Linked DNA regions of Lonchura striata. The protein of the gene in region 1 interacts with the protein of each later gene in a pairwise test. Links are inferred from orthologs where the notes say so. Each region holds a gene or a part of one and is shown in the gene's direction. Other genes may lie near its edges.

Evidence for each region.
Region 2: the proteins of EIF4ENIF1 (region 1) and EIF4E interact in binary tests that used the Homo sapiens proteins (3 or more experiments, as listed by UniProt). The link is inferred for Lonchura striata from reciprocal best matches to the Homo sapiens genes EIF4ENIF1 and EIF4E.
Region 3: the proteins of EIF4ENIF1 (region 1) and EFHC1 interact in binary tests that used the Homo sapiens proteins (3 or more experiments, as listed by UniProt). The two-hybrid records come from large-scale screens. The link is inferred for Lonchura striata from reciprocal best matches to the Homo sapiens genes EIF4ENIF1 and EFHC1.
Region 4: the proteins of EIF4ENIF1 (region 1) and EIF4E2 interact in binary tests that used the Homo sapiens proteins (3 or more experiments, as listed by UniProt). The two-hybrid records come from large-scale screens. The link is inferred for Lonchura striata from reciprocal best matches to the Homo sapiens genes EIF4ENIF1 and EIF4E2.

The regions. Positions count from the first base shown.
Region 1 is NC_134620.1:4,471,784-4,478,908, forward strand, and holds the start of EIF4ENIF1 (eukaryotic translation initiation factor 4E transporter), read left to right. Parts: upstream 1-4,121; 5' UTR 4,122-4,218; intron 4,219-4,562; exon of another isoform or gene 4,563-4,672; 5' UTR 4,673-4,700; coding exon 4,701-4,796; intron 4,797-7,125. UniProt on the Homo sapiens protein: EIF4E-binding protein that regulates translation and stability of mRNAs in processing bodies (P-bodies). Plays a key role in P-bodies to coordinate the storage of translationally inactive mRNAs in the cytoplasm and prevent their degradation.
Region 2 is NC_134606.1:49,885,905-49,893,442, forward strand, and holds the start of EIF4E (eukaryotic translation initiation factor 4E), read left to right. Parts: upstream 1-4,538; 5' UTR 4,539-4,725; coding exon 4,726-4,866; intron 4,867-7,538. UniProt on the Homo sapiens protein: Acts in the cytoplasm to initiate and regulate protein synthesis and is required in the nucleus for export of a subset of mRNAs from the nucleus to the cytoplasm which promotes processes such as RNA capping, processing and splicing.
Region 3 is NC_134605.1:110,375,045-110,382,833, forward strand, and holds the start of EFHC1 (EF-hand domain-containing protein 1), read left to right. Parts: upstream 1-4,777; coding exon 4,778-4,906; intron 4,907-7,789. UniProt on the Homo sapiens protein: Microtubule inner protein (MIP) part of the dynein-decorated doublet microtubules (DMTs) in cilia axoneme, which is required for motile cilia beating.
Region 4 is NC_134612.1:18,512,807-18,519,712, reverse strand, and holds the start of EIF4E2 (eukaryotic translation initiation factor 4E type 2), read left to right. Parts: upstream 1-3,892; 5' UTR 3,893-3,956; coding exon 3,957-3,976; intron 3,977-4,713; coding exon 4,714-4,828; intron 4,829-5,935; coding exon 5,936-6,070; intron 6,071-6,906. UniProt on the Homo sapiens protein: Recognizes and binds the 7-methylguanosine-containing mRNA cap during an early step in the initiation. Acts as a repressor of translation initiation.

The DNA.
Region 1 (7,125 bases):
AAAACAAATGCTGCCACCACCCTGAAAATTTGCACATTAGAAACACAAACACATTCTTCAGTTCCAGAAGAGCCAACAGAAGAGGATAATCTGAAATCTCACCCCAATGAACTCCTGAACTGAACTAGGGAAAACATGGCTGCAGCCAGAAAAAAAAGTTGTTTTCACAAAGTGACTGGAACAATGCAAGTTTCAAAAGTTCCACGGAATAACCACTATTAACAACAAATCACTGGGAGGAAATACAGTATTTTTTGTTTATTCCAGTAGGCTGCAAAAGAGTTAAAAAAAAAAGTTAATGGAAGAAAACAAGACCTATATTTTGTGTGAGAAATTCTTGTTCTATAAAATATTATCTGAATGTTTTCTGAAAGGGGTAGGCCCTGTCCAGCAGACAGCAGGCTCTGTTCACATCAAGATGTGCAATTAAGGCAACTCTAAGGCAACTTTATGCATGTTTGAAGGAGTTTCAGGCACTTTAAAACTGATGCAAAACAGTTTTCAGCACAAGTTCTTGTACACACCTATTAGACCCAGCTCCCTTTAAAACTATTTCATCTGCCCCAAAGACAAACCTGGCCTGACCATATGCAGTGACATTATACAAAGGAATTGAAAAAAATCCAACCTGTGAAGTTTTGTATGAAAGTCTAAGGTGTAAGAGTATCTATATAATTTTCCAACATATGTACTTTTATTTCTGTATTTGGAACACTGTTATGTGCTGCATATATTTAATGATTACAGCCTATGTCCCCCAAAATTTATGGCAAGTGACCATGAAAAATAAGAGTCAAAGGATCATTTATTCCTTTTAAAGTCAGAAACGGAAAGCATGGGAAGAAGAGAACATGGAGTAAATCTGTGGCTGGACAAACAGCTGTGTCCAAATACCTTATGTTCCAGTATAGTATCTCAAGCTCAAGAACATCACTTTTATAAGTAAATGTTGAGATAATGTAAACTCACATAAAGTTGTGTTTCATTATCAGTTTGGGGGTTAGGTGTTCATAGTTTTTTACTTTGATTTTAAGAGCAACATTTTCTGGCTAACAAAGTTCCATAGAGACTAATAAGCCCTTCTGTGAGAATCAGTCAACCTTCTTCTGTCCCATGGAAATCTTAAGATGTTGTAAACATAAAGTAAATTACAGCTGAGGTCTTTAACAAAGTAGTTTCTTATTACTGCTTACCTGCTCCTGAATTTCCCCATTTCACTGTGGTTCTAAGCCTACAGTACAAATGCACTCTCTGCTCTGCAATGTTGTTTAGTAACTTTGGACAAAGCATGAATTGGTGCCTGTTACTTGTGATGAATCCATCACATGGATCTATGCTAAATGCAGTCTGTATCATAAAAATGACATGTTTCCACTCAGACTTATGCTGCACTCAAACAGCATCATGCAATTCCAGATGTTTAACATGAAAATCCTCTGTTTGTCTCACTTAGCAACACTGTGCTGGCTTGATGTAATGGTGATAAAGTTATAACCATATGAATCCTAAGACAGCAATTCTGCCCACCTAAACAAAACTGTGCTAGAAAGGTGCTGTAAAAAGTAAACTACTCCAAGTTATGTGCCTCTACTTAAAAATAAATACATAACCAAGGGTGACACCATCAGCAGCTGATTCCTTTTCACCTGTTGGTTTCTTTTTTAAAATACTATGCTCCTCTCCTTCACAAGCACTTAGAAATGAAGGTAGCTCCAACGAGAACTTCTCCATGCATGGAATCCTGTGGCTTCCAAAGGTCCTGGGAAGAGTCAATTCTGTGGAAGCACCTGGAATTACGGCCAGGCATCTCCTTTTAAGTGTGAGATCCAGAGTGGATTTTTCTATAAGCATTAGTTACTGTGTGATAGAACCCTCTGCCCCCCCCCAAAAAAAACCAAAATCCAACCCCTCCCCCCTCCCAAAAAAACCTAAAAAGCACCGAAACTAAACAAAAAAGGCTTAAAACCAAAACCAAACAGAACCCTACAAGATTTTTCTGGAGTTTTACTACATGAGATTCCTTCCAGCAGGTATCTATACCCTGAACCCTGTACAAACACTTGGAGACCCACAGGACGCTGCTCCACAACCCCGCCGTGAGGGACGGCGGCAGCCGCCCCCCCCCGCTGACGGGCGCCACAGAACCCGGGACTGGGGAAACGGCACCGGCACAGGAGATGGGCGGAAAGCAGCGGTGAAATCCACAGCAAACGGGAGAGAAGCGGAGGGAAGGGCAGCAGCGCCTGAGGCGGCCCCGCCATGAGGGGCAGGAGCTCCCGGCCCGCCCCTGAGTGAGCGCCCCCGTGCGGCGGGGCGGGCGGGCGGGCGGGCAGCGCCCCCGTGCGGCGGGGCGGGGCGGGCGGGTAGCGCCCCCGTGCGGCGGGGCGGGGCGGGCAGCGCCCCCGTGCGGCGGGGCGGGGCGGGCAGCGCCCCCGTGCGGCGGGGCGGGCGGGCGGGCAGCGCCCCCGTGCGGCGGGGCGGGAGGGCGGGCAGCGCCCCCGTGCGGCGGGGCGGGCCCGGTGTGACCGGCATTTACCGACCACGAGCACGGACCGGCCCGCGCAGGGAAACGGGCCGAACGGCGCGGCAGGGAGGTGTTGCTGCACTTGGGAAAAAACTGTGTTCTGCCACTTCTGCACCACTGGATATATCTGCTGTGGGCATCAAGTAACACGCGCCTGTGGCAGATGTGTCTTTGGGAGCCAAAAAAGCTGTTTTAGCCCAAAATAGCGACGTGCACAAAGGTGACAGTGAAACACAACATAGTTCAGGCCTTCTCAAAGCCTACAGCATCTCGTAACAACCACTCAGCTCGAGGCTGGTGGCCCACTGGTTGCCATGGAGTCTTCTTGTGTATTTGTTTGGAAAGCACTTGTTAGCTTCAGAAGACTTGGCAATAGTCCTGTCTCATTAATAATGGAGCACTTTGTCATGAAAAAAACAAGAAATTTATTTCTCATATATTTCTCTCATTCCATAGGTAACCAGATTTTAATTATAGTATTCAACTTCATTACAGATCAGGGAAGAGAATACCTTATTCACCAGATCCTACATGAAATTCGTTGCTCCTACACAGACCTCACTGCCCAAGGTGTTTGGAAACTGTGGCCCCGCTGGGTTCCTGCGGCAGAATGAATGCAAGTGCCGGGGACAGAGCTGTGGACAAACGGAGCAGGCGATCTCGCTCAGTAAATTCCTTAAACTGATGTTGAAAACAATGTCTGCTCTTTATTAGCAAAAACTGAAAGACTTTTCCGGTGCCTCCGAATAAGCTGCTGCGCTCACTGCACCAATCTAGTCCTGCTATCCCACAGGGATGGCAGACTCCAACGTGACAGGAGCCCGGGCCGGGTTGAGAACACCCTGTGCCCACACTGCCGGGCTGGGCGGCGGGCTCAGCCGCACCGCCCCCGCCACCCGCGGGAGCCGGGCCGCGCTCGGCGGGACGCGGAGGCGCTCCCGGGCAGCGTCCCCGAGCCCGCCCGTGAGCGCGGCGAGCGCGCGGGGCGAGGGGAGCGCCCGCCGAGCGCCCTCCCGGCCCATCTCAGCCGCCACCACCCCGCCGCTTCCCGCGCTTCTCTGACCCCGCGCTGCCCCCGAGGCAAGCCGGGCACGGGGACACGGGGACACGGGCACAGCCCGGGACAGGGACGCGCCGGTCCCGCCGCCACCCCGCACATGGCGCGCACCGCATCCCGCCGGTGGCCGCCTCCCCCGCAGGGCTGCCCGCCCAGACTGCCTGCAGGCCCTCGGCGAGCCGCGCGTCTCTCCTCACCCACCGCACCGCTCGCAGGCTGAGACGCCGTTTCCGCGGGCGGCCGGCGGCGGGGACGCAGGGCGGGAGCGCAGCCCGGCCGCCCTCAGCGCCTCCCGCCGCCCATTCGCGGGCAGGCGGAGGGCGGGGGAGCCCCGGCGCGCGCGCCCGACGCGCCTGCGCGCGGGGCGTTAAATGGGTGCGGAGCGGGCGGCGCGAGGCCCCGGCTACGGCGGCTGAGCGGAGGCGGCGCCGGGCGGAGCGGGAGCGGCGGCGGCGCGCGGGGCTGCGCGGGGCGGCCGGGGCTGGGGGGGCGGCGGCGGCGGCGGCGCCGGCCCGGGGCGCGTGCGGCCCCTCAGTGGGGGCGGGCGGGGGAGAAGTGGGGCCGGCGGCCGGAGCAGGAAGCGCCGCGGGCGGCGGTGAGGCCTTGAGCGGAGCGGAGCGGCGCGGGACACCCGCCGGTGAGTGCGGCCGGGCGGGGATCCGCTGAGTCACCTGCCCCGCTGCCGCCGTTCCCCCCCGCGGCTCCGGTGCCTCGGGACGGCGCCTGGGCCGAGCTGCCCGAGCGGCGCCCAACCCCTCAGGGCCCCGCGGGGTGCGGGGCTGCGGGTCCCGGCGGCCGCGCGCCCCGGCCGTGCCCGCAGACCGATTTTCCGATATTCCGGTGTTCCTTGTGCCGCAGCCGCTGGAGCGCGGGGTAGGGCTGGCCGCGCTGCCCGAGCGGCTCGGAGCCTTCAGCGGGAGCCGCCTGGCTGGGCCGGGGGAAGGGGCAGGGTTGGGAGGGGACGGGCGCTGCTGGGGAGCGCGGCTCTACTTTCCTGTGCCCAAGTGTTAATCTGAGTCAGGCTGGAAGGAAAATGCACCCTCTAGAAAGGTACGTCTTGAAATCTGACGGGTTGGTTTTGTTTTAATTAGCTCCGCGGTCAAAGGCTTTGAAGTAACCATGGATAAAAGAGGAGGTGCAACAGAAACTGAAAATGGCGATGCTTTCCTGGAGCTGAACAGAATTACAACTAAATACCCACATCGTTACACAAAGGTCAGCTCACTCTCCTTTCATCTCTGAGTTGTGTGTGTAGGTCTCCGTCACAGGAGTAGAGTGGGAGGTGGAGGGAAGCAGTGAGGTGAAAGCTGGAAAGCCTTTGCCTGCATTAGGGTTTACACGGTGGCATCAAACGAACAGCTTATTAAATGTGATGCAGTTGTGCAATCTTGTCCTCGATGCGCATTTGATTCCCACCACTTTATCTTAGTATCTGAGCACCCCATAGCTTGTGCTGAGAGATTATTGTAGAGACTGAAGTATGTTGTTCTACCAGCTTTCTCAAGTACTTCTTCATAGTTCTGTTTTCAGCAGTGTTCTTTTGAGAAGTTGACCAAAACTGTTTTCTTGCAGTAGGTGCCATTTCATAGAAAGGTGTAGCACTCTAGATGTTATCAGGATCTCTCATATGTTTGCTGGGTGCCTTTTGTAACCTTAGAATTGCTCATTTTTGATTGCTGGAAGCTTAAACAGTTGTGACTCTAATCAATGCTTAGTGTTCACAGGTGCTTTTGTTTAATTATGATGCCTAAATATATGTGTGAGTGGAAGAAGAAGAGCCAAATAACTTGCAAGTAAAGAAAGATTGTTCTAGTACTGAGTTTGATATACTGTAGGGTTTAGGAATTCACATCTTGTTTGGGGTTTTGGTACCACTGCTGAAAAATGCCTTTGGGAAGAGTCCGTAGTTGTAAGTGATTTTTCCCATGGCAAGCTGTGGGAACAGGTGGTCATTGATTTGTGAAAAGCTGTTAAGATACTTTGCAGCAAACGGCCTGAAGTGTGGAACGGGTGAGATAGTTTACTGCTGCTGACTGTGTTATCTTTCTTGAGGAATTCAGAGCTGTTGGCTTTTTAGTAGGTTGTTTTTTAAAGAAAAAAAATTATCATTGTGGCTCTGTTCTGTTGACATAGTAGAGCTCTGGCTTATTTTAAGTAGACATCAACAATAAACCACGTACTTCAGAACTGGCAAAACTTCTTGGCAAAGCTTTTTAAATCTCTCTAACTTCCTAAAAATGATGTGCCCTTAACTTTTGAGGGTGTGAAGTATACTGCTATTGAGACCTAGGTAGTTAACTAACTGCTAAGTGAAAGAGAAGAGCCGTTTTTAAAGCTCCCCTGCTGAAAAAGTGGACTCTATTCTCTTTCAGTCTTGTCCAAGTCCTCTTGTGTAGTAACTGAATTCAGCTTCAATTTCTGTTCTGCTTTTTAGAGCAATGCTCAGCCCATGCTGGTGGGGGCTGTTTACTGAAAGCAATGCCTTACTAGCTTCAGCTTTATTAATTCAGTTTCTGACCAGGATAAAGCTGCAGAACTAGTGTCAAAAGGTGCCTAGTCTTGTTTATCAGTTGGTTTCCAAGGACCCTAAATCAAGAAATACCAGAAATCAGTCTGTGTTAAAATACTTTGCATTATGTAGTTTCTTTAGCTGTTAAAGCTCAAATATTTTAAGATGGTGAGGTAATGAACATTGTAGGGCATTTTCATGTGTTCCAATTTCCTACTAATTAGGGGTTGAGGGAACACTGTTTTGGGGTATGTGCTGCCGATTTGGAAACAGGGGTGATTTCCTTTAATGGTTTATATTCACTTACTACCACTAGGAAAGTATCTGGCTCATTCTATGAGTAGTTCTAAGCTGTTTGCTTAAAACTGTATGATAACAGCTAAGCACACTTTTCTCCCCCCAGCCTGCTTAGAATGTATGTGAATTAAACAAAAACCCCACACATGGAAGTGCCAGCATTTATCTCCTCTGTTACAGGAATGCTCTACAGTTTAACCTGTGTCTTTTCTAGTTCTTGGGAAGCTGTTCCCCCAAGGGTGCACAGCTAATGAATGAAAGGCAAGAAACAATTCAAATTTTCCTCACTTGAGCGGAAGAATTGTGATAGGATGTGAATGAGAGCCTGTGGACTCCCTCTCGTGGCCAGCAAAACAACCTATTCCCAATCTGGTGATGGACAGGGCTGGTAATGCTTGTAGTATCTGCACCAGGCTCTGATAGTATTACAGCACTGATGTTCCTCACAGGTTGAGATTTATTTTGGGAAGCTGTGGGCAGGGAAGTCAGGCTCCCTTTAATGGCACTCTTTTTGCTGAAGTCTAATGCAGGCTGATGTTAAGGTTTTATCCAGCTACCAAGTTGCCATCTAGAGCAAGTGTCAAACTCACATAGTTAATTATCTGATTTTAATCATGTAGGAAAAATGATATAAAAGTTCTGAAGGATGTTGTATTTTTGGGGGGAAAGGGTGAAGGGATTTCCTTCAGTTTGGCTGATGTGTGGTGTCTGCTGTTAGGATTTCTTCATCCTTTCAGC
Region 2 (7,538 bases), on another chromosome or scaffold:
TGCTGTTTCCCTGCTTCCTTAGAACAGCCAAAGATGCATGTATTAATTAAACAATTTAAATATATGTGTAATTTAAAGAACAGCAAGCCCCCTAATTGAGGAATTCGCAAACATGTGTACTTGTCCTCTGCAGTCTTTGAAAGAAACACAGACTGCAATGGCAGATCAGACTAGAATAACAAACCCTGAAAGATTTGGCCTAGGGTTTGCTGTTGAAATGGTTTTTAAACAGCCCTACGTCATCTCCCCATATAAAAAAATTATGTGGTTTCTGTGGTATTTCAATGTTTTTGTTTTCCAATTTGGCCTTGATGTTCTTATTTACAAAGTGAACTGACTCCTGCATCCTGGAGGTCTATCCACTGCCATTTCCCATTATCTGGTGGCACACTCATTCTCACCAGGGAAGTTCACTGACCTTTGCTATTACCTTACCTGAGCAGAGGTGTTTTTTCTGTCAGGCTTTTCACATCCCTTTCTGGCTGCCTGTCCCCCTGTGTTACAGACCAACGCACAGAGAGGGGCGTGAGTCACATATTTTATAGCCCATTCATGATGCTTGATTTGTGTCCACTGCTGTCCTCCCAACTCCTCCAAAGTGATGCAAGGCTGGGAGTATGTGAGGGCAGCAAAGAGGGCAAAAGGGGAGGTCAGCCATGTCTCATGGGTCAGAGAGCAGCCGCAGAAAAGCGAGAGCAGCTGGCAGCTGAGACAGCTGCTGCTTAGGGAGAAAATGGCCACTGAATTTGACATTACTTAATTAAGAGAGCACCTTAGCATGGGTCCCCCCTCCTTGCTTTGCTTCTCTACATTGCAGCAGTGGGGGCTGGGCAGTCTCCCTTTCCCAATGAAGCTCTTGGTAGCTGTCTCCTGTTCAGGCTCATCGAAGACACAATTAAATGCCTCTTTGTCTAGGGAGGGCTGAAACAATGCAAAAATGCCACCCAGGAGCCAGACCACATGCAAATGTGCCCTGCTGTGGCTTGTCCAGATGGTACAGGCACTTAGTGAGTTTCTCATACCAAATGCAACAGTTATGTAGGTTGTGCATGTCTGTCTGCCAAAAACAGAAATCGCAAACCCATCACAAGCACCTCAAAGATGGCCACAAAAGCACTACCTCAAAAAGTGAATGGAAAACAGCCCTATAGGAAGCATTACCCAGAGGAAAAGACAAACCTGTGCTCAAAGCAAAATACTAAGAGCATAGGGGGGAAAATCATTGTAAACATCTTTTGTGTATGAACAGAGTTGCACTAAAGAAATACATGCCTCCATTTTTTTCTCTTTAAGGAAAAATCATGCGGGATTTCAAGTTCTGTCCAATTCTCTGAAGTCAAAAGAGGTTGCAATGTATTTTAAGCCCCTGCATCACTTTTATCCCCTCCATTGGTACAGATACAAACTAAACTACTGAAAGGCCCACTCCAGCCACAATCCAGGCTGGAGCAGCCTTACTCAAAGCTAATTCCAAGCAAGCTTTAGTTGTGGTGAAAAGGAAGATCCTGCATTCTTTTGTTTTGTTTTGATTTGATTGTTCAAGTTTATGCCTCTTGCAGAGTCTGTATTTAATACAGGGTATCAAATTTGCACTGTGATGTAAGAATGGCTCTCTGTGCATTCAAGAACACTCTTCTGGTATCCAAAAATTTTAGCAATTTCCAATGTATGGATATGAAACTGATTGTTTTATCATGGGACAAGATCAAAGGGAAACAAGCTGCATTTTTGTAAAAAAAAAAAAAAAAAAAAAAAGGTGTTTTTATAAAAAGCATTCCTATTTAACCAGTAAGTTGCAAGCCTTAAAGGGAAAAACTCTACTGCTGGAAATATTTGAAAGAATCCACGAATATGTCTGGAGATTAGAACAATTTTATTCGTTGCTACAGAAAAAGTAGAAGTCATGGAGTGAAGTTCTGGCCCAAAGAATTAAACTGAATTCAACAGGAATGTTATTGATATCCAAAGAGATTTAGTTTAGTTTGTGTCATCAAAGGGCCATAAAATAGACTTAACAGTAGTAAAATAAAATCAGTGTTTTATTTCCACTTTAGATACCATGGACAATACTGTGTGACATTAAAAATTATTTTTATTTTCAGGTTTCAAAATTAAATTTAGATTATCAGCTTTTTAATCACATACAACAGTATTCAAAAGTATTATTTCATTCAAATCACTGAGATATAAGTGTGCAGATCAATTCGAGCTCATACCTACACACCTCTGACTTGGAGATGCACATTGGAGATGTTCCCAGCACTAGCTAGATTCACACTGGAAACTGATAAATCCCTGAAGGACTGCTGAAGACGAGATACTCAGCATTTCTTTACTTCAGCCCCTTCTTTGCTCCACTATGACTTCAAAAGGTGGGATTTTCTGGCTATATCTGTGATACCTCTTTGCCTTCCATCTTAAATCACCTTTTAGTTTGAAGATTATACCACTTGCAAGGCAGCCACATCACTTCTGAGCATCTGGTCTACTATGTGTGTTATATCGTATCTTTGCTACTGTAAGTTGTTGGATAACTTCTGATATAATCTTTAGAGGCTTTTTGCCTCCAAAACTCAACAAATCAAAGGAAAGCATATCCCAAACCACAACACGTGCTTGCTTCCCATTTGTGTGGCAATGAGGTAGGCCATGTTCTGAGCTCAGCTGTGCTATATTCACCTAGCTAATTAAGAACTGTTAAAAAGCATAGCTGACTTATAGAGGGCTTCATGCTGTTCTCCTTGCCTTGCATGAGAGAAATGAAATAGCCAAATGCTATATGACATTCAATACAATTTGGTGGTTAATACGCACTTATAGATCTTCTCAGTAAAATGATGTTCAAGGCTGTAAAATGTGTGTCTGTACACTTTGCTGTTTGAGAATAAAAATACAAAGTTAAACACAGAAAAAGATGAAAATAAACTATCAGGGAAGAAGATGATTTTGGATTGATTATTTATGTTAAGAACCTTAAAAGCAGGATTAGAACAGGTAGTCAAAGAATGTACATGTCTGCCAAGCAAGTAAAGTGGAATATAAGATCCATATGGCAGCATAGTAGGCAAATAAATAGGAAGATTTATTAATTACTGTTTTGCATCAAACCGTCTATAAAGAATTACCAGAAATCAAATTTTGCAGAATAGGTAAAATGAACTATATCTATATCCATATCTATAGATATAGATATATATGCTGGGAAAAAAGAACAAACAAAAAAAAAACAACAACACAAAAAAAAAAAAAAAAACAGTAAAAAAACCCCTGCTTCTTCATGTACTTTCTGAATGTACAAATTTCAGAGATTATGTTCTTGTTTTGCCATCATAATGTGATTTAAAATTATACCGTTTAGGAAGAAATATTTTGTTTTTCAATTTCTGTTTTGTCACTGGGATAAAGATATGCCCCAGTTCTTTTACTTTGAAAACTGTTACGGTATTTGTTTCATCAAGAAGCATTACAAAAGGGTAAGAACTTACTTATATATTTATTGTGTTTTTCTTTATTGAACCCTTTGCCTTTGGTAAGTACTAATGAAATCACAGCACTGAAATGAATCCCACGGCTGGGATTCATTATTTGGTTTAACAGGCTGCCCCGGGGAGTGGTGGAATCGCCGTTCCGGACAATGTTCAGAAATATGTGTGGATGTGATGTTTATGGACATGGTTTCGAGCTGGGCTTTGAAGTGCTGGGTTAACACTTGGACTCAATGTTCTTAAAGCTCTTTTCCAATCTAAATATTCTCTGATTTTGTTCCGGGGACAGGGGGCACAGAGCGCTGTGCCGGGGGCACGGGGGGGCTCTGGCGCCTGCGGCCGCGCCGTGCGCTCAGAGCGGCGGGCGCGCGCTGCTGCTCCCACAGCGGCCGCCAGAGGGCGCCCCCGCGCCGGCCCGCCTCTTCCTGCCCGGGCGGCAATAGGGGGTTCCCGGCGGTCCCCGCGCTGGGTGACTACATCTCCCGGCTGGCAGCGCGCCCCCAACGGCCGCCGGGCGCTCGTGACCAATCGCGTGCGGCCCGGGGCCTTTACCCGCCCCGCCCCGCCCCGCCCCGCGGTGCGTCCGCGATCCGAGCGCTCTAAGATGGCGGCGGTGGAGCCGGTGAGTGCCGCGTTCACTTCTCCCGCCCGCCTTTACCTTGCCTTCCTCCTACGGCATCCTTATCTTCTTCCTCCTCGTCGAGGCGCCGCTCCGCCGGCCGCGGCGGGCGGGGGCGCGGTGGGGGCCCGGCCGGGCGGTCGGGCAGGAGTCGGCTGGCCGGGGAGGCCGGCGAGGAGCGCACGCTCGCAGGGGCCGGGGAGGGGGCGGCGGGCGCCGTGGCTGTGCCGGCACCGCCGCCCGAGCGCGGCGGCCGCGGCTCCGGTGGGGTCCGGCGGCAGCGCGGCCCGCGGTCCGGCGGCGCCCATTGTGCGGCGCCCCGCCCGCGGCCCCGGCGGCCGCCCGGCGCATGTGGCGCGGTGGGGGTGGCCATGTTGGTTCCCGCCGCCGCGGCGGGCCGGGCGGCGAGGGGCGGCTCCTCCGGCCGTGAGGAAGGGCCGCGTTCCCGGCACGCCGGGCCCCGGAGAGGCGCCGCGGGGAGCGAGCGCGGGCCGGCAAGGCACAGATGCGCTGCTGGGGCAGCCGCCGCCACAGCCCGGTGGTGAGAGTCAGCAAACCAATCGCTTTTCCCAGGTTGTGTCGTCTTTTATTCGAGAGGATTTTTTTTTTTCCAGATCTTTCATGATATTCATGATAATTCAGTACTTCTTTTTGTTTTTTCCAGGTGATAAGTTATGTTCATGGTATATTATGCTCGGTCTTAACAAACGTAGCCCCAGCCTGCACTTCCATAATGAGCTGGAGCAGCTGGAAGTGATCCAAGTACAGTTGTTATTCTAATCCCACATGATTGTGTATCATGAGGAGAGGACAGCCGACGACTCTGTTAGGGTTTCAAGAAAACACAGTTAAGGAGGGCTGGTCTCTTGTTGCTGTGCTCGCCAGCTTTGAATAAATAGCCAGTGTGCTGTTTGGGGAGGCTTTGTATCATTTAGACAAAGTGAAAAAAGTTTGAAATCAGTGGTTTTAAATAAAAACTAATTTTGCCATTTTTGATTTTTCGCTTAATGGTTTTCTTGTGTGAAACAAACCTCAGATTTTTATCCATGAGGAAGAGATTGAAGTGGGTTAGCATTTATAAATTGTGTGGCAGCAGTTCTGTACAAGGAGAGTGTCAGTTATTAAGACTGCAAGACAGACCACCAGCAGCACCCTTCCGGTGTTCTTCAGCCAGTGTTAAACACTTGTTTTCACATCCCGGAGCCAGTCTTTGAGTTGTTGCCCACTTATCTGAAGATGAGGGCTTCCTCTCGGTGCAGTGCCTTGTGGTGACTGTGAAGCTTAGTAGGAATTGTGATAAATAACTTGTAATACAGCCATTAGAAAATGAAATTACTCTAAAGGCCTGCACCTTGCGGCTTTCTTAGCTGTGCTGCTCGCACAAAAACTGTCTTTACACCATTTTCTCCACTAACTCCATCAGCACATTGGGGTAGATCCTGGCCTAATGTAGCAGAAAGTAAACGATTGCTTTTGCCGTGCTGTGTCCCAGCAAGATTGATTGCTCAGATCCAGTTCAGTATGAGCAGTTGTGCTGAGCCCCTAAAAGTAGAAGATGGAGCAAAACTCACAACAATTTAAGTAATTAATGCGGTTATTGAATGTTTTGCTGTAGGTGCAGTATGTTCGCATTCAGGAGTCAGCTACCAACCAACTGTGCGTGCTTATTTTCAAATTGCAGTAAATAACAAAGTCTTTGTTATTGTCCTTGTAAGTGGCTCCCTTCTCTCGCCTAAGCCTAAAGTTAGGCGTGTGTAGTGACTGAGGTCAGAGGTGTTGCAGAAATACTGCGTGCTTTGTAGCTGAACAATTTAATTGCATGTGTGGTCAGGGACTACCTCTGGATCACAGGGAGGCCTTTCTGTTGCTCACCTGCAAAATCTGGACCTTGGTTTGTAGAGATGTCATCTGTAATGCTTTCCTGGTAGGAGAATGAAATGAAAATACAACTGAGTAAGGGTTGGTTTTGGTTTTATGAATACAGGCTTCTACTAAGATCAGTGGTGTTTCTTGTACTGTCATAGTTTCAAAAGTAGCATACATTGAAAGTCTTAAGAGGCTGGGAAAATGTTTGACTTAAATACAGAAACTTAAGTTGAGAATTCTGTAGTGAGTCCCATAATAGTTGTCAAAAAAGCAAAATTATTCTGTATAAATACAGACCAATTGCACAGTGGTTTACTTCTCTGCTGCAGGGAGAACTTAAACCTTTGCAACACTGACAAGTAAAAATTCTGTTTTTCTTGTGATATCTAGGTTTTTCTTTTAAAAATATTCTAGATTAATTTTTGAGACTATGCAGAAGTATCACCTGTTAGAGTGCTGTTATAAGCACTGTTAGAGTGCTTATATAGCCTTTGAGGATTAAATGTGATCAGAGAACACCATGCAAAAGTCCATGACAAAACGAGGAGTAATGCTTTAGTAAACAATTTACCAAAGGTGACTTTAAAATGTACCTGCACAAAGCCTGTAACTTCTAGGTGCATATAAATCTAATCCCTCATTGTGCAAATTGGAAATGGCATCATGGCTCTTTTGCGTTTTTGATTAATGGCAGTTATAATTACAATTCTTGTGAATTTAACTCTATTTTTTAGCATACAACAGTGACATTTCAGTTATCTGTAATTTGAAAAGCACTTGTTTGAGAAGGTAATCATACATAGGTGAGAATCAAAACTTTATTTAAATGAAACTACTATCTCAAGGGGTTACAAACATAGTGGTGCAGGACCTTAAAATGCTGGAAAGCTCATAATAGCTCCTAAAATTCCATGTAGGCTGAAAGGTACTTATTTTGCATTATCTGTAGACAGGTAGCATGTAATTTTAATTCAACTTCAGACTTGCTCTTGTTGCTAGGTGTTTCTGCTGTAGAAGTCAGTGACCTGATCTGCTTGAAGTTAGTATAGCATTGAACTGCAGTATTGTGAACACAGTTGCTTGCTCATTGCATTTTTCTGAAATGATGCAGAATAGATGTACCTTTCATGCTGTTTTATAATTGAGAATATTTATCATAAGCTTTTGAATTGTAAATAACATATCTGAGTTATTATGGAGCTTCCTCTAAGAGGGGTATGTTGCACAACTTATTTCAAAGACATGCATAAAAATGGCATATGAAATCAAGGTGTGTTTCATTTACTGATGCTGTCTGCAGGTATGGAGGTACATGCAAAATTTTTTGATGAAAAATATCCCTTTTGGCAGCTTTGTAAAGATTAGTTTGAATTTTGAGGTGATAGAGTGGAGCATTAAATCAGGGATGTTGGTAGAGTGCCTCCATTGTGAAAGAGAAACGCAAACTTTAAATGTGAATTAATGTGACTTTTTCTTCGGATAAATTGTCTTTCAGTTTTGAACTATTCTGTAATCGAGGTTAAACTTGAGTTTAGAAGCTGTTTATTTTCTTGCAGTAGTCTTCGTTT
Region 3 (7,789 bases), on another chromosome or scaffold:
TAACGAGGCAAGGACAGGTTCCTCATGTGCCTTGCAATTTACATCTTTTACTGACAAGATTATTTTTAAGCGCTGTTCTTACTAAACAGAAGTACAAAAGAGTTTGTATTATTTTTCCTTTGGGAAACAGGGAAGGATATGAGTGTTCCTTATTAACCAGCCCCTTCCCAGCTCCCACCTGCTGACTTTGTATTATTGAAAACATTGACAATATTTTAAGCTTTGTACTGTACTGATCTTTATTTAAAAACTTTAGCGGAAAAAAAGAAATCTATGAAAAAACAATTGGTGTGGTGTGAAATTCCCAAATGCACAACTGAACAACTACAGAAGGTTATGAGTAATTAGAAAAAAACAGGGATGATAATTATAGAGAGATAACAAAATGAACAATAAAGTGTGGTTTTATCTCTGAATCTCAAAGCACTCACAAGGTTTCATGAAACCTATTGGATTTCATTCCCTTTCCACAAGGGAAGTGCAGACCAGCTGCCCTGACACTGGTTAGAGAAATTTTAGTTCATCATCCACAATCACAGAAGGGTTGAGTTTGGAAAAGATTTCTGGGGGCCATATGGTCCAACCCTCAGCTCAAGCAGGGCCACTCAGAGCTGGTTGCCCAGGTCCATGTCCAGATGAATTCTGAATATCTCCAAAAAGATGGTGATCACTTCTCTGGGCAACCTGTGCCAGTGCTCAGCCACCCTCACTTTAAAAATGTGTTTCCTGATGTTCAGAGGAATCTCCTGTATTCCAATGTGTGCCTGTGCCCTCTGGTCCTGGGACCCAACACAGAGCCTTGCTCAGTCCACTTTTCACCCTCCCTTCAGGGATTTATATACACCTATAAAATCCTTTAAATATTGGCTGACCTGATCCTCTTCCACCAAGGTACAGATTCCTTGCTCCAGCCCTTCCCCCTGCTCTCAGGGACCAGGGATTCCTGAAGGCTGATCTTGCTGGTAAACACTGAGGTGAAGAAGGCTTTTCCATCTTCTCTGTAGCCAGCTCTATCTTACTGAGCAATGGGCCCACAACATTTGCCCTCACAACATTTGCCCTACTCTCCTTTTTGTCACCCTATAGACACCCTTCTGGTTGTCTTTAATATTCCTGATCAGATTCCAGTTGGACTTTGCCTTTCCTCATGCCTGCACATTCAGATAATGTCTGTATTCTTTTCCATCTGTATCCTTGTTTTCACCTTCTCTCTACTACTTCTGTGTTTTGAGTTTTTCCAGGAGCTCCCTGTTTATCCATGCAGGCCTACTGGCATTTCTGCCCAGCTTCCTGCTCATTGGAATGGACTGTTCTTGAGCTTGGAGATGATTCTTCCCAGGCCTTCTTATCCCAAGGCACTCTACCAAGCAGATAGAGTCCTTTGAAGAGGCCAGAGTGTGGAGTCTAGTGTTTGATGTTCACCCTCCTCCCTTCCTTCAGGATCCTGAACTATGCCAGCCAGCTCTACTTTTGACCCCCACATTTCCAGCAGACCATGGCTGGTGAGTCTGATGTCCAGCAAAGCACCTTTCCTTGTCGGCTCCTCCCTCACTTGGAGGAGGGAGTTACCAGCATCCATTCTAGAAACCTCCTGGGCTGGGAATCACAGAATCATAGAAGGGTTTGGGTTGGAAGAGACCTTAAAGATCAACTCATTCCAACCCCCTGCCATGGTGAGGGACACCTTCCACTAAACCAGATTTCTCAGGGCTCCATCCAGCTTGACCTTGAATGTTTCCATGGATAAGGCATCCAAAGCCTCCCTAGACAACCAGTGCCAGGGCCTTACCAACTCCATACTAAATAATTTCTTCCTAATATCCAATCTAAATCTACTCTCTGGCTTCATTTTGAAGCCATTCCCATTTGTCCTGTCACTACATGTTTTTATAAATAGTCCCTCTCCATCTTTCCTTTAGGCTTCTTTCAGGTACTGGAAGACTGCAGTTAGGTTACCCCAAAGCCTTCTCTTCTCCAGGATGAGCAATCCCAATTCTCTTGGCATTTCCTCTAAGGGGAGATGCTCCATCCCTCTTAATCCTCTTAACTTGTCCTCCCAGCAGGTATCAGGTGGCTGAAGTCCCCCATGAGGAGTAGGGCCTGCAAAGAGGCAACTGGCCCAGTACAACCTCACCCAAACTGGTTATCGCTTGAACCCTTTCCCCATAAGCTCTCCGTTGGCTCATCATCCACACAGAATTCCAGGCACTCCAGCTATTCTCTCACTAAAGGGCAGCTCCTCCTCACCTTTTTGGCTTGTCTGTATCCCTCCATTGTAACACTTGGGTCGTGGGAGCCATCCCACCACACCTTCCTGATCCCAACCAGATCACGGCCCTGCAGATGCACCCAGATCTTTGCCTGGTCATGCCCAGTCCTCACAATGCTGGTGTTCTCCACACACACTCCAGAGAGACACCCCAGCACACTGACATCCCAGATTTAGGGATCCCAGTTTTAGGGATTTCTCCATCATGGTGTTTTGTTGATTTTCTGATCCCTTTCTGTCATATCACTCCAGATCCTGAACTCATCAACTTTATCTGGGAGGGTTGTGTGTGATCACATACATAATTCATCAATTTTATCTGTATTTCAGAACTTAAAACCTCTAGAATGCCTTCTATTTTTCCTTCCAATAACCCAGTAATTTTAATTATTATTTCTTAATATACCACGCAGACCAAGGTTTCTGCAGGTTATGTCTTCACCCACCAGAGGGCGAGTTGTCTCCATCTGTGTCCTCCACTGCCAGAGCTCGATAAATAATTCCTTTTGCCTTTCATGAGTAGATAGCAGGGATGTGGGAAGCTGAAAAGGCTCATCTTGACCTTGGCAAGTCAGACTTGTCTGTACAGAAGTTGTCAAGGATAAAGCTTAATCTAGATCTTCACTTTAATTCCTCATTTCTCCTCTCTCCCACTTTACAGTCACAATTCCTAAACACCAGCTTATGCTATGGCTTTTCTTTTGCTTTCTTCTGTGGAATCTCAGAATGGTTTGGGTTGGAAGGACCATTAGAGACCATCTCATTCCCAACTCCTGCCATGAGCTGGGACACCTTCCATTAAACCAGGTTGCTCAACCTGGCCTTGGACATTTGCAGGGATGGTGCAGCCACAGATTGTCTGGGCAACTTGTACCAGGGCCTCCCCCACCCTCACAGGGATTAATTCCTTCCCAATGTCCCATCTAAACCTGCACTCTGGCAGTTTAAAAACACTGCTCCTTGTCCTGTCACTGCATACCCTTTTAAGTAATCCCTTTTTGGCTCTCTCAGAGCCCCTTTAGGCACTGGAAAGGACTCCCAAGGACTTCCCAGAGCCTTTTTTTCTCCAGGCTGAACATGCCTAGCCTGTCATCTTTACAGGGTGTGCACCAGCCACTCTGCCACACAGCCTTGTCACCGATTTGCAGTTATTGTCCTTGGGGATGATCCTTGGCACACATAGGTGAATTTCCTTCTCTGAGACAGGCCCTGTTCCCTGTTAAATGCTGCCTGGATATTGAAGCTTGAAAAATCAGAGGGCTTGATCAGGGTCCTGCTCCTGGGTCTAAGTCAGCCATCATCACACCAACAGCTTTGCTGTCCTCCAGATTCAACTCTTCAAGCCCTGCTTGGCCTTCAGTTCATTATTTTCCTTTCTAAGCTCATCAGCCTCATTCTTTATCTCCCACGTCTGGCTTTTTTCTCTCTCCCACACCATGCTTAGGCAGACAGTCTGGCTGCAATTCTCCCCGCTTAACTTCTGCTTAGAAAACCCTTGGATCTGCCACCTGCCCTTGAATCACAGCCTGGCTTGCCTGGTGTAGTGGTGATAAAGAGAAAAAAGCAAAGATGCACAAAAACCTTCTTTTTCATGGAATCCCAGAAGGTTTGGGTTGGAAGGGACATTCAGAATAATCTCATTCCAACCCTCTTGCCATGGGCAGGGTCACCTTCCACTAGACCAGGTTTCTCTCAAATCCTGTCCAGCCTGGCTCTGAATGCATCCAGGGGTGAGGAATCCACGTCTTTTGGGGAATCCACAACTTCTAAATGCAGCAGATAATTTCTGTTTCCCATGGTGATGGATTTAGCTGTTTTCTCTCTTACATTTAGGAGTCAAGTTTTGCACATCCACCTTTTCCTTGATGGTATCCTTGATGCTTCTTTTAGCCCCTTCCTCCAGAGATAAAAATCACATTTGAAAGAGAGGAATTACATCAGTGCTACATATGAAAAATACACTATTTCACAACTATATACATTTTAATACATGTATATATACATCATAAACTGGCACAATCACTCCTGTTAAAATATTTCAATCTCTCCAGGTATGGATTTGTCCCTTCAGAGCTGATCGTTACCCTGCACACTGCACACGGCAGGGAAAACTCCCCCAAAAGAAGCAGTCCAGGTGCCACCACCCGCAAAATGTTTTAATGTGAGGGGTTTATGAGGGGCCACGAGGGGGATATGCAAGTCTGTGAGTGGGATACGAGTGGACTATGAGGGGCTGTGAGGGGAAACTCCCTAATAAAACAGAATGAACGCTTTCCACGTCTTTTTTCCCCGCTCCGGGGCCGAACTCCCCTCACGGGTGGGGGGGGCGGTTCGGCCCCTCAGAGCCCTCCCCGTTGCCACGGCGACCGCGCGCCCTTGGCACTCACTGCGCAGGCGCGGGGAGACGCGGAGGCGCGAAGGGCGCTGCGCATGCGCACTGGGCGCGGGGCGGTTGCCGTGGAGACGCGTGGGCCAGGCCGGGCCCGGAGCGCCGCCGCCGCCGCCGCCATGAGCTCGGGGCCGGAGCCGGAGCTGGGGCCGGGGCCGGGGATACGGCCGGGGACAGGGACAGGGCCCCCGATCGGGCCCGGGCCTGGGCTGCCCTTCCTCCCCGGCTGCGCCATCAAGGACCCCACGGTGAGCGCGCCCGCCCACTGTACCCCCGCTGTGCCCGCTTCCCACGGGAGGCCTCCCGGATCAAGGTGGGCTGGCCTTGTGTGTGCCCCCTGAGGGGTGACCTCAGAAACGGGCTTCTGCACCTCCCTGCACCTGCTTCAGGTGGTACCTGGTATCCCCTGGTGACGCTCTCTGGGAATCTGGTATTCCCTCAGACTTTGCTCAAAATCCACAGAAGGCTTGGGACTCCTAAACTCAATGATATTCATAGAATCACAGAATGGTTTGGGTTAGAAGACCGTAAAGATCATCCCATTCCACCCCCTGCCATGGGCAGGGACACCTTCCACTATCCCAGGTTGCTCCAAGCCCTGTCCAACCTGACCTTGGACACTTCCAGTGATCCAGGGGCAGCCACAGCTTCTCTGGGAACCCTGTGCCAGGGACTTGACACCCTCACATGGAACAAATCCTTCCCAATATCCCATCTATCCCTACCCTGTTGGCAGTGGGAAGCCATTGCCCCTTGTCCTGTCCCTCCACGCCTTGTCTGAAGTCCCTCTCCAGCTCTCCTGGAGTTCCTTTGGACACCAAAACCAATTCTGCTGTCTGCAAACTCACCCCTTTAGATATTCAATTCCCTTGAATCTATCCAATAATTCCCCCACAGTTCATAACATACCCCAGGGGAAATCCCCAAACTCGCTTTACAATCTTGAAATCTGATTCCCTCAGGAAAAGCTGCTGTTTCTCTGAACCATCTGAGTTTTCCCAAAGTTCTCTGAACTGATACTGATTCTGATACTGTCCTGAACCAAGTTCCTTAAATTCACCTGATACCTCCTAAGATGGATATACCCAGGAGAACCAATATTGATCAAACCTTGAGCATTCCTCCACATGAATTAATCCCCTAGATCATCCCAATATGATTATGTCTTGGACATAATTTGTCTATTACATAGATACACCTTGAAGTCACCAGTCTCATTGGCAATGAACATCTTCCAAAGCTCTGATACTTCCAAAACTGCTCTCCTGGTGTTGCCTGGAGAACTGAATCCTTGGCAGTGCAGGTCTGGAACCTGATAACCTGATGAGAGAACTGGTATCCCACCACAGAACTGGTGTCATCACTGCTTCCAGGATCATCCCCAGGAAATTACACACTCTCAGCTGTTCCCAGGTTCCCTGGAAGAAGCAGTCTCATCCTCATCCTCATCCTCTGCAGCCGATACTAAAAAAGGAAGCAACCTCTCCTTTTCCCCATCCAATGGTCCAGGACCTGATAACCCAAATCCTCCCAATATCCTCTTGAGGAAGTGGTACTTCTACAGAGAACTGATGCTTCCATTTATTTCTTTGATATGCTAAAAAAATGCCCCCCAAAACAAAAATGAGTTGTTTCATGCCTGGTTTGGGCTTAACCAGGAATTTACAGCCTTCCTGGAGAGTATCTTTAACAGAAAACATTCCTGGCTGCATCCAGCTTTGTATATGAAAATTCATTGTCACAGAATCATGGAATGGTTTGGGTTGGAAGGGACCTTAAAGATCATCTTGTTCCAACCCTCTGCCATGAGCAGGGACACCTTCCACAAACCAGATTGCTGCAAGCCCATCCAACTTGGCCTAAAATCAGTGACAACTGAGTCCTCCAATAGTAAATAGAGTAAATTACTCATAACAAATAGCCATCCAGCAATAAAGGTTGTCTCAGAATTATTCTCAGATACTAATATTTCCTTGAAGTAATTTCTAACATCTTGGAAATCTGCAGTTTTCCAGTCCATAAAACTGGCATAACAATACTTGGTTTCATAGTGAATGCCGAGAAGTTCTGAAGGAAACCTCTGTGTTCAAGTAAAGTGGTGTTACAGCTTAGTGCTCACTGGACAGGGAAACAGACACTGGGAGAGGGAATGGTGTTTGTGTCAAGTGTTACAGACTTGGCAAAAAGAAGGACTTAATTTAGTGGAATTTCTTCAGATAAACACTGGCAACAACTGAGATTAGGAATTTACATTCTGGGTTTTCCCTTTTAAACTTTCATTAGTTACCTGATCCTGGAAGATGTTATCTGGCATACAGGCTCACTTTGGAAGAGCTTGTCCACTCAGGAGCCTTATGAACCAACGAGGTGCTTTCTTTAGGCAAATGTGGGCTCTTAAAAGCCTGCACACTTCTAACAAACACTGATATTGCTCAAATTAAAGACAAACTTCCTGGTTTTCCTTGAATATTTTCCCCACAGCTTTCCCTTGGTATTTATTTAAGAGAAGGAAGTGGCAGTTCTGTGGCAGTTTATAAGATGTTCTGCTAAAACATCTTCAGACAAATCTTGTTTTCACCTGTTTTCCTCACTGCTCTCTCCTTTGCAAGATCTATAGTAGCAGTTTAAAGAGAAAATGGGGAATTATGTGGAATTCAAGTGGGGCCTGAAGGTATAAATAAGATAAGAGGCTTAACCATGAGAGGCGAGGAAGGGGGTGGAGAAGAAGCAGTTTGCATGCCTAAGGTCGGACTGACTGCAACTGGAAAAGGAGCTGGAGCTCGTTCTCTCAGCACAAGACATGCTTACAACTCTGTTTTACTTGGCAAAAGTCAAGAGGTTTTATTATCAGGGACTCATAATTTCCCCTGTTTTCTCTGGAGCTTTAAGAGTTGAGTGTCCAGTGGGACCAGGAAGGCTCTCGGAGTGCAGGTGAGGTACCACGTGTGCCAGAGTGTGCAGCAAGTGGAGCAGTTTGGTGTCACTCGAGTCTGACCCTGCTCTTCAGTGGTGAAGAACAAGACTGACTGACAGATCAGCTCCTGTGCACAGCCCTGGGAGAAGGACTTGGAGCTGCTGATGGATGAGAGGTCGAGAGCCAGAAGCCCCCACCATGTGCTGGGCTGATTCCC
Region 4 (6,906 bases), on another chromosome or scaffold:
CAAAAGAAGTTAATTTTCAGCTTGCTTTGTTTGTAGTCATGTTTCTTTGTGTTCCACTCCCTTCTGCCATCAAATGGATGTGCTTTTTGGATATTGCTTCACTACAGAGGCTGTCATGTGCCAGAGGCTGCTCAAAGGATCCCAGGTCATGGCAGAATTCCATGGCATCTCCTGGCCTCAGGTGAGCAAGGGCTTCCCTGTGATTGTATCAACACCTGGCAGGATTCCTCAGTGAGCTATGGCATGGAGTGGTTGTTCTTTGCCAAGGCACAGAGAGGAAGAAGAGCTCTAAAATGAACACTGAGCTCTGTTGCAGCCAGCACTCACTGCTGTGCTCCTCTTCCTTCTCAATAATGATTCCTCTGCAACTATTCCTGGCTTAGTCTGCCTACAGACCCTTGAATGTCCTGTAACAGCTCTCTTCACAGAGACTAGCCTGACTTTACATATATAATATGCAGCATCAAATTTGCCATGGGGCCAGAATCAGGTTTTTCCTCTTACCTTATGCCTTGGAGGGCTTTTTAATAACCCTGATTTCCTGTGTTAGACTGGGCTGTAAGAACCATCCAGAATAAACAGGACAAGCTGACATGAATGTGGCTTTGAGAATTACAGACAAGTGTTGACTTAAAATTTAGGAAGGAACAGGTCATTTGGGAAAGACTTCACTTAGAAAACTTAAGAAAAATTGTATTTAAGGTAATTTAAATCTGCCAGAACTGAAACTGAACTACCAGTGGAAAGCAGGCAATCGAGAAATGTATGATAATGGTCATCTTTGACACACTTCCTTGCAAGATAATTTTTAAAATAATTAAGTTGTCATGCATTTCCTACAGTCAGACAAGTGACAGTTGTGGATCGTTGCAATGGTTAGGCACAGTTCAGCTGTGAACATTCAGCCTGTAAGTGTTCTGTGAAGCCAAGATGTTCCTGGCATTCCCCTGCTTGTATTTCCAGGTGCAGCCCCAGGACACTTCCCCATCACTGCTGAGGCCCTCGGGAACTTTGCTGATGAGAAGGCTGCTGGCAGAGACACACCTGCAGGATCGATGAGCTCTTACTAAGGCTGAGATCAGGCACCACCAGAAGAGCTGGGTGACTGCACAGCCACAGGACTTCAATGCTGCATGCCTGAATGAGATGTTAAAGCTAACAAGTAATTGTCTCTTAGGCAGATGCTACATATTTCAAATGCTTCTAGTTAAAGTATTTCCAGCAGCACTCCTGCTTCCTCTCCTCCTTTTTTTCCTGAGAGATGGCTGAGCTATTTCTTTCTTTGAATTCAACCTAAAACATAAAGAGAGTGATGCTGTTCCACTCTAGGCTGAAAGAAAACTTACTGTGCGCTGTCTTCCTTTTCAGCAAGATCATATTTTTTAACAGAACAACAAGGCTGCTGCCTTACCAGCTCCACCAACTCTGTATGGGCCTGTGATGAAAAACAGATCTGTTGCTGGGAATTTGCTATGCCTTAAATCTCACTGCCTGTCTCCTATCTGCAGGCAGAGGATGGCACGCTCTCTACATTCGGAGTGCAGTGACCACAGATCTCTTCAGAGCGGGCTCAGACACCACCTTCACTTTATGCTGAGCACTTCATGATGGTGTAGCTGGAAATCCAAGGTGGGAAATGTGTGTAGCTGCACGTGTGTTGTGTCCTTGCTCATGGCTCATGATTCAGCTACCCTGATCCTCCACTGTAAGATGGCTTAGGAATTTCAAGTTCTGCACAGAGTCTGCACATCAACAATTCTTGAATGCTCATTATTAGCCCTTTTTTTTTAAATTCAGAATGACTCCGAGAGGTGTCAGATGCTGTCATTTGCCCATCCTGTGGAATTGTATATAAGGACTGAACAGCCCTGCCATATGCAAAAGCAGCTTTACCAAGAGACTGTGTGTTACAGCAGCATGAGTGAACCCAGGGTTTGTGGGGACCCAGTACACCACACTGCAAGGCTTCCCTGTCACCGAGGTCTCTTAATGCCACTAAGCTTTGGGTACAACCCTTAGACAAACCAAAGTCAGGCATCACACCTATGTTTACATTTTTTCCCAGGCTGCAAAACTACCCAAAGGTGAGTTTGAACAGCTCATGAGGAACTCTTCACTGGGCATAGGATGCTGGATGTTATCTATGTGCTATAATATGAACAAATCTGTACTGAGTTTGCCTCTCTTGTTGCAGAGATGTTACTTTTACCATTTTTCCATACAGGATTTCAAGCTAGGTCAGTGTATAAAAGTATTAATATAATAAACTTTGGTTTCCTTTAAACTGGTACAAATGAAACATAAAACCCACAGAAATTTCAGGAATGTATATGCAATTTATTGTATTAGCGGAATACTTTAAATCCCTATCCAACCTGATGTAGGTCATCTTCCCAATAAGACCTATGTGGTTTTGCGGGAAGATCAGAATCCAAGCTGGGGGTTTTGATCAGTGTGAAGCCTTCACTTCTGTGGGGTTTAGTGGTGTTCTTTCTGTTTTAAGTTTGATAACTGTAATTACTGTATCCTTTGGTGCTCTTTAGGAGTGCCTAATAATTTCTAAATAAGCTATTAGGTAGGAAATAACAGAGTGTGACCCTGTTTCTCACCCTGTAATAATTACTTGGCACTTGTATTGGGCAATTTTAAGAGAGTGATTGATATCTTGGCAATTTTTATGAAAAGGATCTCTTTATGAACAGGTCTCCATAGCGATTTGTGTAACACATTATTTCTGAAATATTTTGGTAAACTGCTGGTCTTCAGAGCACACAGATCCCATTTGGGGATCCCTTTTGTTACCAACCAGGAAATTCTGTATGAGTGTTTGAACTGTTTCTGCTACTAAATATTTCTAAATAATCTTCCGTGACTTCTAAGGTTATGAACACACGTCTGAGCCCTTAAGACAACCGGATGGGAAGGCCCATGGTAAGAATATTTAGCCTAGGGCTTGGGGGGCCCTTTCCCTGTCCTGCCATACTCCTGGGATTTCAGGAATATTGCTGAGACACTCATTGCCTTTGCTTTCAGATAGTAAGGCAGGAATAGCAGTGTTACATTGCTTTACAAGAATTAATACACTAACACACTATAGGATAGAGGATATGCAGTGCTTTACATATGGTTATACATACCATTTTTTTTTAATGCTCCTGATCCACAGACTTATGAGAGATATTAGTTGTTCAGCATAAATAAGTTTTAAGTAGACTGAGTTACACCAAGTTATAATACTGTGGATATAATACGGGGTTGTTCCTTTGCTTGCTTAGCATGAGTACCTAGATTACATAGGCAATGAATTTTTACTCTTTCCACATCACAAATTGATATAGAAACAGAAGCTACAGCACTCAGAACTCTATTTACTAACTCTGCCAGATAGCAGAAATTTGCAAATTTCAGAGATTTGCAAAGCACTGTGAAAATTCTGTACTCGGAGTAACGTGGGAACAGATTCGTGAAGTGCAAGGAGATGCTGAAAGAGGGACTATTGCCTTTATCCGCTATGAACTGTCTATTATCACTTCAGGAGCTTGCAGACTCATTACTGGGACTTTTTCCCATTTTCTGTGCCATCCCTCACTGCACATGAAGGAAACATCAATGGGGAGGGAGTCGAGCTGGGGTTTCCTGTTGCCACAGGAGGCAAGGTGGGAAAATTCTTAGAAGAGTAACTGTCTGAGTCCTCAAACTGTATTTACGGGAGCACAATTAATTGCACGGATAAGTTGAACTCTCTCCCCAGCCCGCCCCTCACGCCACACCCAAGATGGCGGCCGCGCCCTGAGGGGCGCTCCCGCCCCCGCCCGCCGTGCGCCGCGTTACGGCTCCGGGGGGAAACGCGGGCGGTGGTGGCGGAGCCGCCGGAAGCGGCGGAAGAGTTTCGCGGGCGGACTCAGCAGGGCGGAAGTCGCTGAGGCGGACGGGGGTGGCGGCGGCAGCGAGCGACGATGAACAACAAATTCGACGCGTGAGTGTCGCCCCCGAGCCCCCCGAGCGGCCCCCGGTGCGGGCCCTGCACCGCCCCGAGCCCCGCCGGCGCCTCCCGCCGCTGCCCCGGCGTCGGGCGGGCGAGACGCGATGAGTCACGGGGCTGCGCACAGCCCCGAACCTGCAGCCGGGGCCCGGCCTGGCCCCGAGGGGACGCGGGACCGGGAGGTGTGGGCGGTGGGCCGCTGGCAGGCCTGCACCGCGGAGTTGCGGACCGCTTTGTGGCTCTGCTTGTCTCGCTTTTTTCCGGCCCTTGGCAGGGAATGGGGCGGGCGGAGAGATCTGTGGGGTGCTGGGTGCTGGCGCGGTGTCTGCTCGTCCGAGGCGCTGCCTGTGCAGTGCTGGGGGCCGTGGGGAGCGGGGTGGGTAAGACTCGGCAGAGGTACGGTGAGAGGTCTTCGTGTGGGCCCCCTGAATAGCAGGGAACTTGAACAAGTAACCGGGGTTTCCTGTGGCAGATCAGTATCCAGCACAAACCACTTGAGTTTGTTCCAAAAAGCTGTTTCGTTGTTCACGTCAGCTTAAAAGTGCTTGCCCAAGATGCCTGTGATGGGCATGAAAGAAGAAGTAGTTTTTACTGTGTACGTTGTCAAGTGTAGATATCCAAACTGTGGTGGCCCTTGTACCACGGAGGAGCTTTGGAGCAGAGAACTACCTGGGCTTGGTATGGACCTTCTCAGCTGTGTGATGGCTCTCTTTGTTATTTTTCTTTACCAGATTGAAAGATGATGATAGTGGAGACCATGACCAGAATGAGGAAAATAACACACAGAAAGACAGTGAGAAGGAAAAGAACGATCGTGAGAAACCACAGAGTACTACCAAGAGGAAGGTATGGTGCTGGCATCTGCACTCCACTGCCAGGGCATGGTATGGGAGTGCTGGGGAGTCAATGCTCAGCTCAGGGATAAGGGAAAATATGTCTTGGGGGGCTGTGATATCAGTACGTTGCTACTGCTGCAGTGAAGACAGCAGCACTACGTTTGATTTTGGTAATTTGATGTCACTTTTGGAGGTCTCTCATCTGAGGGGTGAGTGCTCCCATCACTAACATAGTGGTACCCTGTCAGGCTTTTTAATGGAAATGAGTAATGAGGCTTTATTTTCATCCAAAAACAAATTTTGAAGAGGATGTGGGGAAAGGACTCATGTCTGACAGGACAGTAGTACCTTGAAGGTGGTTTAGCAGGCAGTGTTTGTGACACTCTTGAAACACCTTTTAAGATGTGTCCCTGTGTGTAAGGTAGCCTGGTGAAGAAAGCATTGTGTATATATCTCCCCTGGTTTGGTTTATTTTTATATCTTGTTCAGGAAAATTTCTCTGTCTGAAGTAATGCAACCCTTGTAAACTTGCCGAAGTCAAGAGGAAAGTAGAGATTTAAGCCCTGCGAACTCCTGTAACAATATCAAGTAGTACAAATAAGAGCTTTGATTGGGGTATTCTTTGTAAGTTTTGACTCCTGGCTGATGAGCTCTCATTAGCCTCTTTTGTGCTCATTAGAAGTATTTTTAATCAGAAATCAGTGTTTTGGAAATTAAAAAGTGATTGCTGCCCGCTGCTGGTGATGGGTTCTGCCAAAGCTGACATAACAAGTTCTTAGGTTAATCTTCCCAGAGCACTGGGGTGTTGGTTCCTTCAGGCAATTGGTGTCATCAAAGAGTTTAATTGCATTTGAATCATGATTCATTGTAAGTGGGGTTTATCATTCCCAGAGGAGGAAAGTGTCTTTTTTTTTTTCCCTTAATTTGAAAAAGTTCAAGGTCTCACATTTCCTTTTTAGTTGTTTTTTTTTTTTCCCTTTGAGACAGGCACAGGACTAAAAAGAATTCATCCACGATACCTCTGATGGCTCGAATGGTTGCTTTTATATGCTGTAAATGCAATTTTTCCCTTTTTAGAGGAGCATGCGAGGGGTAAACAAGCTTTTGTGTCCTGCAGGCTGTGGTGCCGGGGCCAGCTGAGCACCCCTTGCAGTACAACTACACCTTCTGGTACTCGCGGCGCACCCCCGGGCGGCCCACCAGCTCGCAGAGCTACGAGCAGAACATCAAACAGATTGGCACCTTTGCCTCCGTGAGTACCCCCTGCCAGCCCCTCCGCTGGGCACAGCCTGCTCCCCGTGCCCCGTGCCCTGCTCCCCGTGCCCCACTCCCCCTGCCCCGTGCCCTGCTCCCCGTGCCCCGTGCCCTGCTCCCCGTGCCCTGCTCCCCGTGCCCTGCTCCCCGTGCCCCGTGCCCTGCTCCCCGTGCCCCACTCCCCCTGCCCCGTGCCCTGCTCCCCGTGCCCTGCTCCCCGTGCCCTGCTCCCCGTGCCCCGTGCCCTGCTCCCCGTGCCCCACTCCCCCTGCCCCGTGCCCTGCTCCCCGTGCCCTGCTCCCCGTGCCCCGTGCCCTGCTCCCCGTGCCCCGCTCCCCCTGCCCTGTGCCCTGCTCCCCCCGTGCTGCCTCTGTGCACGCACAGGCCCTGCTCCTGGTTTGCCAAGGCAAATGAGCTCTTGAATTGCAGCAGGAGATGTGCGTTTAGCACTTCTCCTCTGCCCTGTGCTAGACCTCTGTGGTATAATGAGAAAAAAAAAAAAAAAAAAGAGTAGCCATGTCATTTATTTATGGCTGGAGCATGAGAAGAAAGGAACAGCTTTTCTGTTCCATTTCTGTGCTGTCCCTCACGCACTTCACCCACATTCCCATCACAAAAGCTGTGTTTGGAATAAACATCTGGCACGCTGTATTTACCAACAGCTGGTGACCTGTTGTCTCTCTGGAAGTGATGGACAAGGTGCCGTTTGATGTTGCAGTCAAGTTCATTAAAAGGCATATTGCTCTTCCTTTCTTCCTCCACTCTGTGGTTACTTGTTCCTGGAATAAACTTGAGCGTGTCCTGGACAGGCGGTCTTGGGTTTTTGCATGGTGC